2 linked regions of the Arabidopsis thaliana genome follow. The protein of the gene in region 2 interacts with the protein of the main gene of each other region in a biochemical or structural test. Each region holds a gene or a part of one and is shown on either strand. Other genes may lie near its edges.

Region 1 (8,817 bases), on a different chromosome or scaffold from region 2:
TAGAGAAATTAATTTGTTTTTTGTTTTCTTTGGAGTCATTTAAAAGTTTATTATCCTAGAAGAAAAAAAAAATAGTAGGGCAACATTAAAATATATAAATATTTTTAAACGATACGCCTATAATTAGCCAAATTCTAGTAAATGGTTTTAAGTAAACAATTATAAATTTGGAAGTTTTTTCTTCTTATAATTTATGAGAAATTAATCAAAATGATAAACAGCAATGGAAAAAAATATTGATTGATTTATTTTTCTGAATTGTAGCAGTTCAACGTTGTCGTATTTCACTTGCAACATTGTTTATCAACAACATATATATGTCTTGAAAATATTGCTTTTTCTTTCATATAACGCCGATTATAAATGGACAAGTCACTACAGTTAAAAACAGAAAAGAAAAAAAAGAACCACTTGCGACTCATGACGTATCAAACGAAGTTATCTATAATCTATTGGATTAAACAACATTACCTCACATGCATCACAAAAAAAATATTAAATCATAATCATTATTGATCCACCTTTATATGATTATTATTTTTTATATTTTTTGTCAACTGCCCTTATAAGTTAAGAGCCATAAAAGGGCTTTGATCTCCACCAAGTTCATTTCACCAAAAGAAAAGTCATTGAAAACCAAAAAAAAAGAAGAAGATCAAAAAAAAAAGGATGTCAGAAGAAGAAGTGGTGGTGTTGAACTTCTGGCCAAGCATGTTCGGAGCAAGAGTGATCATGGCATTAGAGGAGAAAGAGATCAAGTTCGAGTACAAGGAAGAAGATGTGTTTGGTCAGAAGACCGATCTATTGCTCCAAAGCAACCCGGTTAACAAGAAAATTCCGGTTCTCATCCACAACGGTAAACCGGTATGCGAGTCCAATATCATAGTCGAATACATCGATGAGGTCTGGAAAGACGATAAGACTCTCCGTCTACTACCTTCTGATCCTTATCAGAAGTCACAGTGTAGATTTTGGGCTGATTTGATTGACAAAAAGGTACTACTAGACTTTCTTAAAACGTTACATTTTTGGACGATACTTAAGAATAACAAATACAATCTACTAAATACTTCATAATATTAAATGTTATGGTGTGTATATAAAAAGTTCAACGAAAGGAGACTAAAAGTTCAATTTCATTGTGATTCATATACAAAAATATAAACAGGTTTTTGACGCTGGAAGAAGAACGTGGACAAAGAGGGGCAAAGAACAAGAAGAAGCGAAACAAGAGTTCATAGAGATATTGAAAGTGTTAGAAAGAGAGCTTGGAGATAAGGTCTACTTCGGAGGAAACGACAACGTTTCGATGGTGGACTTGGTTCTCATCTCCTACTACCCTTGGTTCCACACATGGGAGACTATTGGTGGTTTTAGTGTCGAGGACCACACTCCCAAGCTAATGGACTGGATCCGTAAATGCTTAACCCGACCCGCTATCTCGAAATCTTTACCTGACCCGCTGAAGATATTTGATCGAGTCACTCAGATCATAAAGGTCCATGAGTTTTTCTATGGTTATTGATAGTCTAAATCATATGCTCTATTTATGTAAGTTAACCAAAATAATAAGAAATGTTGTAATGCTTAAGGAAGTAGTTGGTGTGAAAAAATTTATTTTTCATTTGATATTATAATTGAAATAAAATGGGTTTGTTGTTCTTGATATATCATAAGTTATTTTTATTATTATTATCCTATGTTGATGGAAAACTTTTAGAAATTCCTATGTTATTCAATTATATAACAATGTCGATATTTGGTAAAGAATTCAATTATATATCTTACTATAGTTTAACTTAATTCTTGATGTAGTTTCTTGTGGAATGGTATATAAACACCATTACTCTCGATCTTTATTTTGCCATATCGTCTTTCGATGCGAAGGAAATGGGAACATAATCCAATACATCATCACCAACACACTGATTCTCGTAATGAAGACTTGTCCAGTCTTTTTCTAGTTTTAAACAAAAAACCATTCAAGAATAATAAAATCTACAATATGGAGTAGCAGCAATAGTATATTAAGTCTTGGTCACTAAGTGTTGAGCAATAAAATCTTCCATGACAGTAAAGATGATGTTGATATTACATGCGAGTGACTTACGAGATATTATCATGACATTATATATGGTTAAACATTTTGATAGATTTTAACTCATTTGTTTTTCTACTTTTATCTCTCAGTTGTTACAAGACTGTTTAGTGTGTTATAGTTTTTGTTTCTTTAATTTTTTTAACCTTTTTCTTTGAGTTTGTTTAGAAAACAGTACATTTCCGTAACTTAATTGGAGAAGTAGTACAATTACTATTTATAATTACTAAAATATTCGAAAAAGTTTTTGTTTGGTGAGAGAGAAAGAGAGGTGTAACAGATTTAAATAAAGAGAAAGAGAGCATTTGAGAGGGAGACGTGGGTCAAAAAAAATTTTCTAATTTTTTTTTCTTTTCTTTATTACATTTCATTCTCTCAAAGTTTAATAATTAAAATACTTGTTTGTAAATTTTATTTTTCTAAAATTGATCATAGAAAAAAAAATCTATGTTTATCGTTTAATTGTTAACATTTCGGCGGTTGGAGACACTACTGGTTTTGTTTATCGTTTATCGTTTACAAGATGAATATAAATCTATAAAACTGTTAAAATTCTAAATTCCTAGAGATAAACTTGGTAACTTAATTTTTTTTCTTAGGACTAAACTAAATGGTTTGAATCCAAGTACATAATTGTTAGTCCTCTACCAGCGGCTCGCATGGTAATCCACCAACCAATCTTTTCTTTATGCCATTACGTAGCCTATATACAAGGTTATTATTATGTTTTTTAAACAATCCCTCGATATATGCAAGTTATCTACTATTAGCTTTCACTATTCTTCGTCTTCATTGTTTTAAGTTAGTTCTTGATCAGCAAGTACAGTGAGCTATAGAATCGAGCAAGAATGAGAGCGGTGGCAGAGGAGATTCAAACGGCTAGGAACGCGATGTGACTCGGGCTGTGAGGGGTTATGCTGGATCAATTCTTTCTCATTCCTTTTAGCATTTTTGGTCTTCTTCTTTTTCTTTTTCTTCTTCTTCTTCTTCCTTTTCTTTATCAATTTACTTGCGCATTCCCAAACATGACTGAGAACAAGAAACAATAAAAACCGAGTAGTTGGTTCCTTCTTTCTTTGGGGTTTAGAAATGAAGAAGATAATAGAATTAACTGTAAAATGTCAATTCTTTTTTGTTTCTTAGTTCGTCACAAAAAAAAAAAAAAGAGAAGAGAGATATATGAACTGAATTGCATAAAAAGAGTCTTACATATTACTAAAGAAAACTTAATGAGCTTGAATGTTAAATTGACAATAACTAAATTAGAAAAACTCTATAAAAACAAACTTATAGTTTATACGGGCCGACCGGATCAGTCGATAAGATTTATTAAAAAAACAAAAAACAAACAAATTTATGGTTCTATTAGTATATAGTTGATACTAATACTAGAACTATGAGTCTATGACTAGTATAGTGGAAATTATAATAATTGTTATAAATATAACTTTAATGACTAACTTGTAAATACTAAAAGTTGATTTTGCATAAAATAAAATATAATTCAATTTTAATATAGAAAAAAATTAAACAATTGAGGAAAATTTATATCTATAATTAAATAAACATATAAAATAAAATTAAATAAAAAACATATAGAACAAACTATTATATACGTTTATGTGTATTATAAATCCAAATATCAAATTCAAATTAGAGCTAATGTTATAGTAAGAAAAATGTCTATACGTAGATAAATTAGTTTTTTTTCAAATATAATCTAGGGGAGAACCACACAAGATGGAGTAGTTTGACAGTACTATTACTCACAAGATAGGCCTTCATCAGCTAATAAACCCTCACAACCTTAACAGCCTTATCAACCATACCATTGGGCCTTAAGTGGGTATTTGAAATAGAAAATGTTTGATCCCAAGAACTTTTACTACTACTTTGTTCTTGCAAAGACACTAAATTTTAAACAATTACAGTGCACGTTTTTGCAACTAGTAAGCAATTATTTCTCCACGTAATGGATATAATTAGTCGATCTCAATAAACTGCAATATTTTAGAGAAAAGAGAAAATAACATCATCAAGTGGTCATGACTCGAGAGACTAAAGCAAATTATGAGTTCAAACGTCACGGACAATAACAAAACCAAAAGGCAAAGAAGAAGCAACGTTACCAAAAAATCACGATCAACAAAACAAACAAGGAAGCAAATCTCTCTGTTTCTTTTGGTTCAATAAATTACTTTTCTCAGTTTTAAAGATGTAAAAGAAAAACATGCTTAGGATTTCGAGGGATAAGAAGAATCTCACTTTGCCATCATGACTTTGACGAACTCTTCATAGTTGATCTGACCATCACCATCGACGTCAGCCTCTCGGATCATCTCATCGACTTCCTCATCCGTCAACTTCTCCCCAAGATTTGTCATCACGTGACGAAGCTCAGCCGCCGAGATGAAACCGTTCTGGTCCTTGTCAAAAACCCTGAAGGCTTCCTTAAGCTCTTCCTCTGAATCAGTGTCTTTCATCTTACGTGCCATTAGGTTCAGGAACTCTGGGAAATCTATTGTCCCGTTCCCGTCTGCATCCACTTCGTTGATCATGTCCTGGAGCTCGGCTTCTGTCGGGTTCTGCCCAAGTGATCTCATCACAGTCCCAAGCTCCTTTGTGGTGATACAACCTGCAATCAAACCAAAATTGGACACAACTTCAGATTTTGTAACGCAAGAGTTCCGAGTATAACTTTATGAACACTAATATTGTCAACAAGATCAGGAAGATATATAAACCAATTATCTTAAACACAAGTAATATGTCAAGTTTTCAAATGCAAGAAAGCTCAAAAATGCTCTTAGTAAAATATCCTTACACTACTAACCCCAATCATAGTATATCTCATTTAAAAGGACGACGATTCGACAAGTAAAACTGATTGTTCGGAAATCATCTACCAAGTTAACAAAGAAACTTCTTGCACACAAACCACCAAGCAACATTTAAAGCCTCTTTCTAATCAAAGGCCAGGAAATGCACAATGTTCTAAATATGATGGTATTCTCTTAGTAATCAAAGGCCAGGAAATGCACAATGTTCTAAATATGATGTTATTCTCTTAGTAATCAAAGGCCAGGAAATGCACCTATTCTCACAAGAAAGCTCAAAAATGCTCTTAGTAAAATACTCTTAAACCCCAATCATAGTATACGACAAGTAAAACTGATTGTTCGGGAAACATCTACCAAGTTAACAAAGAAACTTTTTGCACACAAACCACCAAGCAACATTTAAAGCCTCTTTCTAATCAAAGGCCAGGAAATGCACAATGTTCTAAATATGATGGTATTGCCAATAAGCATCACAAAATGCACACCGTTGCAAGTTCTCAACTATTGTAAAGAAGAACAACAGAGATGATATTATCAACTTCTTTCTCTATTTTTCTATTTGGCAACATCACACAATAAACCAAATTTCGTTTTTTAGATTTTGAGTATAAACATCTGCAGATAAATCTACATGTTACAATTGAATCTTAAAACCACAATGCCACTAAATTTTGTGAGAACGTACAAATCCGCATGATTATAATCACAGGATTTGTTCAGAATCATAGTAAATCACAGAGAAACAACTAGATTCCAATGTACGATTCCAATGTAGGATCTAGAATATGATGAATAACCTAATTAAACAAGATTCCATAACTACAAATCTTAGTAATCATCAACGAATATACTAAAGGAGATTCTACATATTCTAGATCCTTCTATAGAAGCAAAAATCAACCCTAAACACTCTGGAGATGTGAGCAAGACTGAACGAATCAAAACGAGATCGTTCTTCAAATCACATGAAACAATAAACGAAATGTGCAGAGATTCACGATCACCGCGAAGAAATCTAAAAAAAAAACGACAAGAGAAAGAGATCTGAGAGAAGAAGAAGAAGAAGAAGAAGAAGAAGAGACCATCTCCGTCTTTGTCGAATAGGCTAAAAGCTTCCTTGAACTCGGAGATCTGGTCATCGGTTAGCTGATCCGCCATTTTTTTTGTCTTCTTCGGATTTTCTCGAGAAAATTTTTGCTGTGATATTTTCTTGTTTCTGGAGAAAGTTGAAGCGCGTGAGAGTGAATGTTCCTTCTCCTTTATAAAATGAGATCTCACCAGCTACAGGTAAAATGAGGTATTTTTGAATTGACGATTTTGCCCTCCTAAACGTCTTTCTCTTTTAATTTCTCAGACCAAAAAATTAAGAAATTCTAGTTTTGGGAGAAATTTGTTTTTTAGGTTTGCAACTTAGTTTTTACTATTTTAGGCTAATCTACTAACTACTTATGTCCAGATCATGAACTTTCTGCTAATAGTTTTGAATTTGATATTTTTGTATTATTGTTATGGTATCTTGGTATGATATATATTGATGTAACCTGATATTATACATTGATATCCAAACATTGGTGTAGGCAATTTGATAAAATTCATTTTCTATTTGCTAAGTTTATTTTAGGGTAATATTAGATAACCAAATAAAACATACAAATTAAGAAACTAGTAGAGAGAAAGTTTTTTGTTACAAAATAACCATGGACCCATGTTGTCGGAAGAAATGAAATAACAAAGCTACCTTTCATTTGTTGTAAGATGAACTGTAAACGAAACACATTCGTGTAATTTTTCAAAATAACATGTAACATTAAAATTTCACATGTTATATTTAGTTTTAAAACATGCTATTTAAAAAAACGTCATGAATTTTTAAGAAAAAACATTATTATGAAATTTTCTTACATGAACATAATCCTTAAAAAAAATTTATATGTGATTTTAATAAAACCGTGTATTACTAAAAAATAAGAATATATTTTTAAAGAAATCACGTGTGATCTTAATAAAAAATGTGTATTACTACAAAATATCATGATAAAAAGAGATATTAAACTGAATAGAATGTTTTTTCCATAAAATACCATGTGCTTTTTATAAATACTATGTAATAAGAGAAAATAACAAGATAAAAAGAGATATTATGTTATCGCATGTATTTCGGAAAAAAAACATGTTACAAAGGATATTTATGTAATTACATGTGTTCTCCAATATGTTTCCGACAAGCTACTGTGACTCAAGGTTAGTTTGTACATTCTTTTCAAATCTATAATCATTTATTATAAATTCTCTTTATTTTATCACATTTCAAAATTATAACACAAGAAAGAAAATGGTTAGACAATAAATATTAGTAGACGATTGAGAATGATTTTACGGTTTTTCCGTAATTTAGTAGAAAATTTTTGTAGAAAAATTTCCCGCCAATTGCGTTGATTTTACGATTTTTAAAAAATTTATATAATTGTCATCAATTATTTTTATAGTTTACAATTATTATTAAGTAGCACTATACCACAAAATATTTTTTGATTTTATATAATCTTTTCTAATCAGACTGATTTGATAAGTGGTGCTAAAAATAATAAATTAAAGATTTAACCCGTATTCCAAAAAATAAAAAAATTCTAGTTTTGTGACAAATTTGTTTTTTAGGTTTGTAACTTAATTTTTACTAACTTAGGCTAATCTACTAACTACTTATGTCCAGATCATGAATTTTCTGCTAATAGTAAAGCAAAAATCAGATTTTCATATTGAATTTGATATTTCTGTATTATTGTTATGGTATCTTGATATTTCATATTGAATTTGATACATTGATGTAACCTGATATTCTATATTGATGTCCAAACGTTGGTCTAGGCGATTTTAACGTTAGTATATATTAAGGTTTACAACTTGTATCTATTTAAAGAAAAATTATATTTTATAGTTTATAATTGTTATTAAGTAACGGTATAACACGAATTCACAAGACAATTGTTAATAAACAGTGCAGTTATATGTTTCCCTTTGTATTCTGACTTCTTATTGTTGGAGGCTTCTCTGACTTTTTTTTATGTTTGTGATGGTAGCTCTTTTTGAATAGGTATGTGTGAAATGCGAGAAATGCAGAGGAATTTTGACTTGCCGGATATATAGCTTTGATCTATTGTTTGTTCCCGTTATTGTTTTGATGGTAGATTATTGCGTTGAGGTTAAGGTGTTTGCTTTTTCTTAGTATTATATCATAGAGCTTCTTTTTGGTATGGATCATTCTGTTCTTTTTGTTATGATTGACTTCCCTTCGTTATAGGTATGTTGAAGGTATAAAGGGTTTTTTAGTCGAAGGATGGCTTTGATCTATCCTTATTATTGTCTAACGATTTCATGTGAATCAATTTGTTCTTTCTTAATGGGTGGATAATTTATAACGCTGGATAAATAAAAATCACCAAAGATCATACATTTCTGGCCATAATGACCTTATGGTGGTTCCAGAAGGATGAAAAAGAAATTTAATTTTAGCTTGTTTAAGTATACAAAGTAACATGACTTGTAAAAGCTTTTAGTCAATTAACCAATTCAGTAGCAATTTACTACTTAAGTGGGTACCTGTCTGACCAAACCTGTGGCGTATCTTCACCACGGTTCTGGTACATCAAAAGCCCTCCAGCCCATTTCTCTGACCGGTTATACCGAGTCACCTATATTTAAACCAAAAACTTTCATCGATTATACATCAAGTTTGTTGAACCTGTCAAACCAACCGAGCTTAAACCGAGTTCCTGATTGTTTGTGAAAGCCCCTCTAATATGTGGCGGATCATCATTATCGAGTAAACTTGCAGCATTACCACTAGGTAAGAGCTTGTAACCGGCCAAGTTCCTTAACTAA
Region 2 (7,477 bases):
TTTACGTAGGATTGCCAAAAAATGCAACCTCTATTTCTATCAACAAGTTCATCTTATAAAAATATAATACAATAGTTTGAGATAGACTCTATTTTTGCTAAAAATCTCTTCATGGTTCATTTGGTGTACAAAAACAACCCAACACATAAAAGTTTATGTAAATGGTATTTCAACGGCTCTTGTGTGTATCTGAAAGATGTCACAGAAGAGGGAGTTTGAAGAAGGGAAATCTTGATTTGAAGGCGGCTCATCAAAGGATAAGCGTAGAAAATTCAAAAGTGTGGTTCAGGAGGCAATGAGATTGCAAATTGAGAAACATTTTCTCGAAAATATGTTCTAGATCCCTTGATTTATAAAGTGGTCAAAAAAGAAATAGATTTTACTCTTGAAAAGCATCTAACAATCTGTGATTCATCTTTTGGAATAGAAAAACCTACCGTTAAAATTATTGTATAATCTATTGTTTCATGTGTTTACTTTAATTATGGAATTGGGAAGTTACCTTTTACCATTTAACTTTGAGATTAAGGATCTGTATTTAGGATAAATATAGAATTCTTAATTAATAGTCGTTAATCACAAAAAGAGAAAAATATAGATACATTTTTTATAATTTTCTTTTTGAAAACTACATTTAATTGTATAGTCATAATACTGACAACACTCTCTTAGCGTAATTCTAGCTCTCAGGTTTTTGAGAATCCATATTCAAACAGAGAGAAGTAAAGATTTGAATAATAATTTTTTCATATAAACGTATAAAGAAAGCTTAAATAAATAAGAAACTAAACTAATAGGGTGTTATTGGTTTATGATTTCAAAAGAGTTTTAGTGACTTAAAATGTCATGTAGAATATGTTGCTATTCAATTAAAAAATTTTAAAGTTTGTTAAAATTTTGTGTTATTTATTTAAGATTTGTAAAAAATAATCTAAAATCTTCATAAATCTGGAGCTATTAGATGCATACTTTTATAAAGTGAGTAAATCTTTTATGTTATTCAATTAAAATAAAAGAATCTCTCATTGTAATGAATTAAATTATTATGTTATTGGTTTATAACTTTCTACATTTTTTTTCATGACAAAATAAAGTCATAAAAGTCATGAAAAATATTATCAAAAGATAGAAATTGTTTGAGATACTTTACAAGAATATGAAAAACTAATCACAAGATTATAAAAAAACTCTCTAATTCCCTCTTCACTATCTTTCTAAGTTTCCTTCTCCACAAAAAGAAAAAAAAAAGAACAAAGCAAAACAAACCTTAAAGAACAGAAATGTAATCGAAACAACAACTAAAGAAAACGAAACGGATCTCACGTCTCGAACCACGAAACCACTGTTCGTGCTAGAGGAAGTATTAACGAAGAGATTACCCGCATAAGATGACTCTGAATCGCCGGAGAGATCCGACTGAAGTCTTTAAGCCCGTCCATGATCTGTTTCTTTTAATGGTAAGATTTTTATGGAGTGAAACAAGTATAATAGTGAAACAAGTATAATGGAGAACGAAGAAAAACAAGTGTTTTCTTTGTTTGAGAGAGTAACGAGTCTTTTGTTAGACAATAATACCCTTTGTGACCTATGTCGATGTCGCATTGCATGAGTTGAAATTTGGCCGCAAAAAAAGCAAATTTGATTTTCCACGAAACGAACCTTTAAGAGCCATCCACTTCAAGATTTTTCAAGGTTATTGTTGGAGTTGTTTTGTCGAGAAGCAAATGAAATATCTTGAAAGAGATGAGTCAGCAACTGGTCAAATTGCAAACCAACGTTGGTTAACGAGCAAACCGGAATGAAGAACCCAAATCCAATGTCATATGATCAAATATCTCTTGACCAGAGTAGTTCCTTGCTGTTTCCTAGAAAAAAAAAGGAACTAATGCAAGAATTTACGGTTCCAATTTCCCTAGTTCTTTTAAAAAATCAAACAAAGAAAAAACAGAGATGTAATTGTTTTATTCAAATATTTTGTTCTCGTTTTTGGCTTCATTTCCTTCTGTTACATCTATTAAGTATTAACAGAACTTCTAGGGGTTGGTTCATGTTTTGCATTTCTGGCCAGTGATTTTTAATTTTCTTTTCTTTTAGATCCTTTTGCAAGTTGCAATCATGTTATCATGGATTGCAAAAGGAGTGTATCAAAAACCCAATTGAAAATGCTACACACGTTAATGTGCTAATCCTAGATTGCCTTGGACCAGAAGTCAGAACATATGCAAGTATATAACTAGTATTGTCTCCATCGTCGGTTTGTCGGATGGATTCAAACTTAAGATCGGGTCATGAGCTCCGAGGTCTAGACTCTATGCAAAACATAACGTCGTTTTTAAAGTGAGAAGGAAAATCTGATGTATATTCCTTGCCATTTGCCGTACCACAACATTCTATTGGGAACAAATTTTGACAAAAAGCTCCAACCAGACGTTTGACAAAAGGCTAAACGCCATTTATTTGCAATTTTCAAATCCACGTTTCACGAGAATGCAGGTTTTTACACACTTATCATGGAAATTGCAAGTTATTTTTCGATTACAACTTCCAAGCAATAGCAAATGTTGCAACTGTGAGAATCTGAAATGCACACATTTTAGAAAATTTAAACAGGATTATCATTTTCCTACATTATTCTTAGCTTGGTAAGATGCAATCAGTAGAACCAAACTCTTAAAGAACAAAAGTTTATGAAAAGAAGAACAACACTCGAGTCATTTACAATCTGAAGATGGTACTTGTGCAGAAGTGAAACAAGCAGATCCTTTTTAGTGGAAACATGTCTGGTCACCAATAGAGAGTGCTAACAAGTAATATCTTCAAAGTGGCCACACACGATAACAACCATAAAGTTAAATTTACTTTACATCCCCTCAGTTTCTCCTTTTCTTCTTCTTCTCTTCTTTATCTGCTGAGTTCTTCAACTGCATAACAAAAGAGTCCGTCAATGACGGTTTACTAACAAATAAAGTGTACCATTTTCTTATACCAGCGACAAATGAACTTACCATTATGATGAGAATCCGAACAAACACAGCTACAAAGTCAGTGAAAAGGGTCAACGAATGTTTTACATAGTCCATGTCACCGAGGTGTGCCTTTTCTATAATCTCTTGTGTGTCCACCACCATGTATCCCACAAAGATCAAAAGTCCAAAGTACAACTGCAACCAGAGACGTATTCATAACAATGGTGAGATGTCTGAGAAAGTAAGACAAAGAACAGATCATTCTAAAACAGAGGCATTCGGTTTACCTCAAACTTAAAGATAGATGCAGAGCCACCAAAGATTGAAGAGGCAAACTGGAGCCACATTAGCATAGACAAGCCAGATGAAAGCAGTCCTCCAAGGTAGAGATACTCCCTGCGTCTTGCTAACATTGCTGCTGCTGAGAAACAGACAAACGCTATCGCAGTTCCAACAAATGCAGTGATAAGGATGCTGGAGAACCAAAAGAAAGATATAAAGGTCAGCTCCTAGAATAGTCTAACAGAAAATTAACATTGAACAACAAGAATCAAATTGCATAACCATAACACACCTTGGGTCAACATCAATTGCCACTTTGATCAAGGGGCCAACAGAAGCACCTTCAAGAACAGCAGACACAAACAGAAGAGAAAGCCTTTTTTGCTGCATCAAAACAAACAACAATGTCAGGAAAACGAAACTTTAGTACAATAAGAAAGCAGCCAATTCACTATTGGGTTGGGTAAATCGAGCCCACGTACGTGTTCATAAGGAGGACATGAAAGGAGCCAAATCATAGTTCCAATACATCCAATCGTTGTAAGAATACCGCCGATATTCCAGAGCACATGGAGGTAAGCTCCAAAGGCAGACGCCACAAGAGCACAACATAAGGTCAAATAAACCTACAAAGATTCCACCACAAATAATAAGAACCAATGAGCATTTGTAACATGAGTGAGTATACAAATCACATTCCCTTCTGCAAATGGAACATGACAAATGAACAAGAGGATCTTAACAATAATAAGCAGAGTAAAGTATAACGAAAGATCTCCACAGAATCATAATCAAGTAAGTATCAACAAACTAAATCATGGAAAGACCCAATTAGAAACCCTAGATAAAGTACGATCGCAACGATTCGTTCAACGGAAACCAAATCATAGAAATTAGATGAAATATAGAAACATAGAGCGATCAATAGCACGAAAACGAAACGAATCTCAATCTATCGACTCTAATCTAGACATCGCGGTTTGGTGTGTGATATGAATAGACATCGGCGGCGAAGAAACTTACCCGTTTAAGATGATTCTGAACGGCTGGAGAAATCTGACGGAAGTTTTTAAGAGAATCATAGCTCCAGCTTCTGCTACCAGGTTGAGAATCGAAGAAGGAAGAGAACGCATCCATTGTTTCGTTTTTTTTGCTTGACTTTGAGAATCGATTAATGAAAATATTAGTTAGAAAATAAAGACTTTCGTTATTTATAATGGGCCTTATGATTGGGGACTAAATTGACAATAATACCCTTACTGCTTATGTGTAGTTATTACGCATTCGCTACACGTGTAGGGGCATTAAACACGGAGAAGGGTAGTTCTGGAAACTTCTTGAACGTTGAGATCGTCGTCGTCGTAATGAGTTGAAACTTTGCCGCGAAGCAAATGAAATATCTAAATCGTCATCTAACCAATAAGAATCATCCACGTGGATTTTTCACTTAGTTTACATATTATTGTTTAAGCTTAGGAATAAATTTGTTTTAGTTTTGTGATAAAGTATTTTGGATAACAGTATTTATTAATTTACAAAGACTTTTCTATAATCTTTCTCTATTATTTTCAGTTGCATCAAAAGTTTAACAAACTAATAAAGAAAAGACCAAGGACATTTTCATATCGTCTAGTCAATTCGTAAATCATGGGTCGAGAGTATGGTTAAATGTCAGGTTTTGAATTCTAGTTCTATATGGGCTGATCGCAAAGCCCATTAACAGTCTCGTTTATCTTTCTATTTTTGCTTACAGAAAACATCACGTAGTTTCTTCCTTAAACTGAATTAAAAAAGGAAAACGACATACAATCCAAGTTTCTAACGATAACAACATCTCTTTCACTTCCTTCATAGCTCATTTCAAACCACACATTCAAACTAACTCTGCAAAAAAAAAAAAAACTCAGAGCAGAGGAGATCGAGAGAGACAAAGAGAGAGAGAGAGAGAGAGAGAGATCTTAACAAAAAAATGTCTATATCCATGGCGTTATTCTCTCCGCCGATCTCTTCCTCACTTCAGAACCCTAATCTCATCCCCAAGATCTCAACCTCTCTTCTCTCCACCAAGCGTTTCTCTCTAATCTCCGTCCCTAGAGCTTCCTCCGACAATGGTACGACTTCCCCCGTCGTGGAGATTCCGAAGCCTGCTTCTGTGGCTGTAGAGGAAGTTCCAGTTAAATCTCCAGCCGAAAGCTCCTCCGCTTCTGAAAACGGCGCCGTTGGAGGTGAAGCGACTGATTCGAGTACTGAGACGGTAATCAAATATCAGAATGCGAAGTGGGTTAATGGAACTTGGGATCTGAAACAGTTCGAGAAAGATGGCAAAACTGATTGGGATTCTGTTATCGTTTCTGGTTAGATCCTTTTAAAACTTCAGTTCAGTACAGATTCTTTGAATACTTGATATATGTCTATGCTTTGTTATTAGGAAGATTCTGCTTTGGTTTCTTATAGTGGTGTGTAAGAAGAGGAGTGTTTGTTGTGTAAATGTGTTGATTATGTATTTTTATAGAGGCAAAGAGGAGAAAATGGCTTGAAGATAACCCGGAAACAACGAGTAACGACGAGCTTGTTGTCTTCGATACTTCGATTATTCCATGGTGGGCATGGATGAAGAGATACCATCTACCTGAAGCTGAACTTCTCAATGGTGATTTTCAAAACACTTATGATCTAACACTTAGATATAGTACACTTAACATTTTGTGCATCTAAGTTGTTGTCTTGGTGGTGTAGGTCGTGCTGCGATGATAGGGTTCTTCATGGCTTACTTTGTTGATAGTCTTACCGGAGTAGGACTTGTTGATCAAATGGGAAATTTCTTCTGCAAAACACTCTTGTTTGTGGCTGTAGCTGGAGTTCTCTTCATCCGTAAGAATGAAGATTTAGACAAACTTAAGGATCTGTTCGATGAGACTACGTTATATGACAAACAATGGCAAGCTGCATGGAAAGAGCCAGATTCATCAACAGTTTCTTCAAAGAAGTGAACAAGTTCTTACAATCTTTCATTTTCCTTTTTTTGTTATGCAATAATCTGTGAATCAGTGAAAGTTTATCTCTACTGAACTACTGATCTTCAGATTTTGTAATCTTTCTGCTTTAAAAATCTCTATGAAGTAGTCTCAAAGATAATGTATCGAAGGTCTTTGACTTGTAAAGCAGACCTATTTCGTTTTGACGCTTGATAATTTAATCAATAAGAGATTTTATTTTTTTTAATATGCTTTCTACTGTTAATACATCATCAAATAGTAGCGTTTCCAGATGGATGTTTGTGAAAAGTCATCAAGTAAGTCATATTTGTGAATTAATCAAAACCGCACTTCATCAACCAACCAACCAACCTCCAAAGAATTTGGGCTTCAGTACTAACGTCCTTTAAGGGTGTAACACATTACTGCTCTGCTCTTATTGCCGCAACTAATTTGACTCAATTTTAAGTACAAAATGGACCATTAAACTGTTGTCACTTGTCAGGACCACCGGCCCAAAATTAGTAGGGACCTTAGGACAGTTTGATATTAGTCTTTTAGTAAAAAAAAAGTTTTTTTTGTTTATCTATAAGAAAATACAATATTTTTTTAATAGATCTTAATTTTCTAAAATATCAACAGTCTATGTTTATTTTTGTGTCTGATTTAAAAAAAATTAGTTAGTTATCAAAACTTAAAACAAAAATATTAGGTCCAGGACTTTGGCATCTCCCACTTTCTTGAAAAACATGGATACTGTATGGACCTTCTTGTTTACTATTGTCATAATCTTTTTTCTCATAATCTTTTTACTATACTCATAATCTCTCCTCCTCATAATACATCTCCCACTTTCTTAACACCTCATAAGTCTTCTCATAATCTTTTTACTATCATAAAAGTTTCTGCTTGTATTGGAATGAAAGAATTTGACCATTTAATTTGGAATTCTAAACCCAATATAAAATTATAAACCACTCTTACTAGAGCCAGGATCCCAGTTTCAAATTTAATATACGTAACATGCATGATTTGGCCATGTCTTATGGATATGCTAATCCATTTCTTTTTTTTAGGCGAACATTATATAGTTTACATTATTGGATTGTTGGATGGCGTACGTACTTAATTAGTTTCAAAATTTGATAATATACATGATTAGATCATGTCTTATGGTTTATATAAAAGTAATTATGTTAATCCATAATTCTTATTTAGACCGCCTTTATACTATTGGATTTTTGTTTGTCCTAC

The links.
Region 1: the proteins of BI1 (region 2) and CAM7 interact in far-western blotting, tested with the Arabidopsis thaliana proteins (one study listed by BioGRID).

What each region holds. Positions count from the first base shown.
Region 1 is NC_003074.8:15,660,260-15,669,076, forward strand, and holds CAM7 (calmodulin 7), read right to left. Parts: upstream 6,211-8,817; 5' UTR 6,097-6,210; coding exon 6,021-6,096; exon of another isoform or gene 5,375-6,020; intron 5,222-5,374; exon of another isoform or gene 4,734-5,221; coding exon 4,364-4,733; coding exon of another isoform or gene 4,360-4,363; exon of another isoform or gene 3,873-4,359; intron 3,128-3,872; coding exon 2,929-3,127; 3' UTR 2,741-2,928; downstream 1-2,740. Other genes in the region: GSTU27 (glutathione S-transferase tau 27), read left to right, coding at 670-996, 1,169-1,525. UniProt on the Arabidopsis thaliana protein: Calmodulin mediates the control of a large number of enzymes, ion channels and other proteins by Ca(2+). Among the enzymes to be stimulated by the calmodulin-Ca(2+) complex are a number of protein kinases and phosphatases. Activates MPK8 in vitro.
Region 2 is NC_003076.8:19,132,979-19,140,455, reverse strand, and holds BI1 (BAX inhibitor 1), read right to left. Parts: upstream 4,505-7,477; 5' UTR 4,386-4,504; coding exon 4,272-4,385; intron 3,875-4,271; coding exon 3,731-3,874; intron 3,633-3,730; coding exon 3,541-3,632; intron 3,441-3,540; coding exon 3,254-3,440; intron 3,162-3,253; coding exon 3,006-3,161; intron 2,922-3,005; coding exon 2,871-2,921; 3' UTR 2,431-2,870; downstream 1-2,430. Other genes in the region: AT5G47130 (Bax inhibitor-1 family protein), read right to left, coding at 1,380-1,439; LIL3:2 (Chlorophyll A-B binding family protein), read left to right, coding at 5,218-5,602, 5,761-5,898, 5,985-6,238. UniProt on the Arabidopsis thaliana protein: Suppressor of apoptosis. Modulator of endoplasmic reticulum stress-mediated programmed cell death. Involved in methyl jasmonate-induced leaf senescence through regulating cytoplasmic calcium level.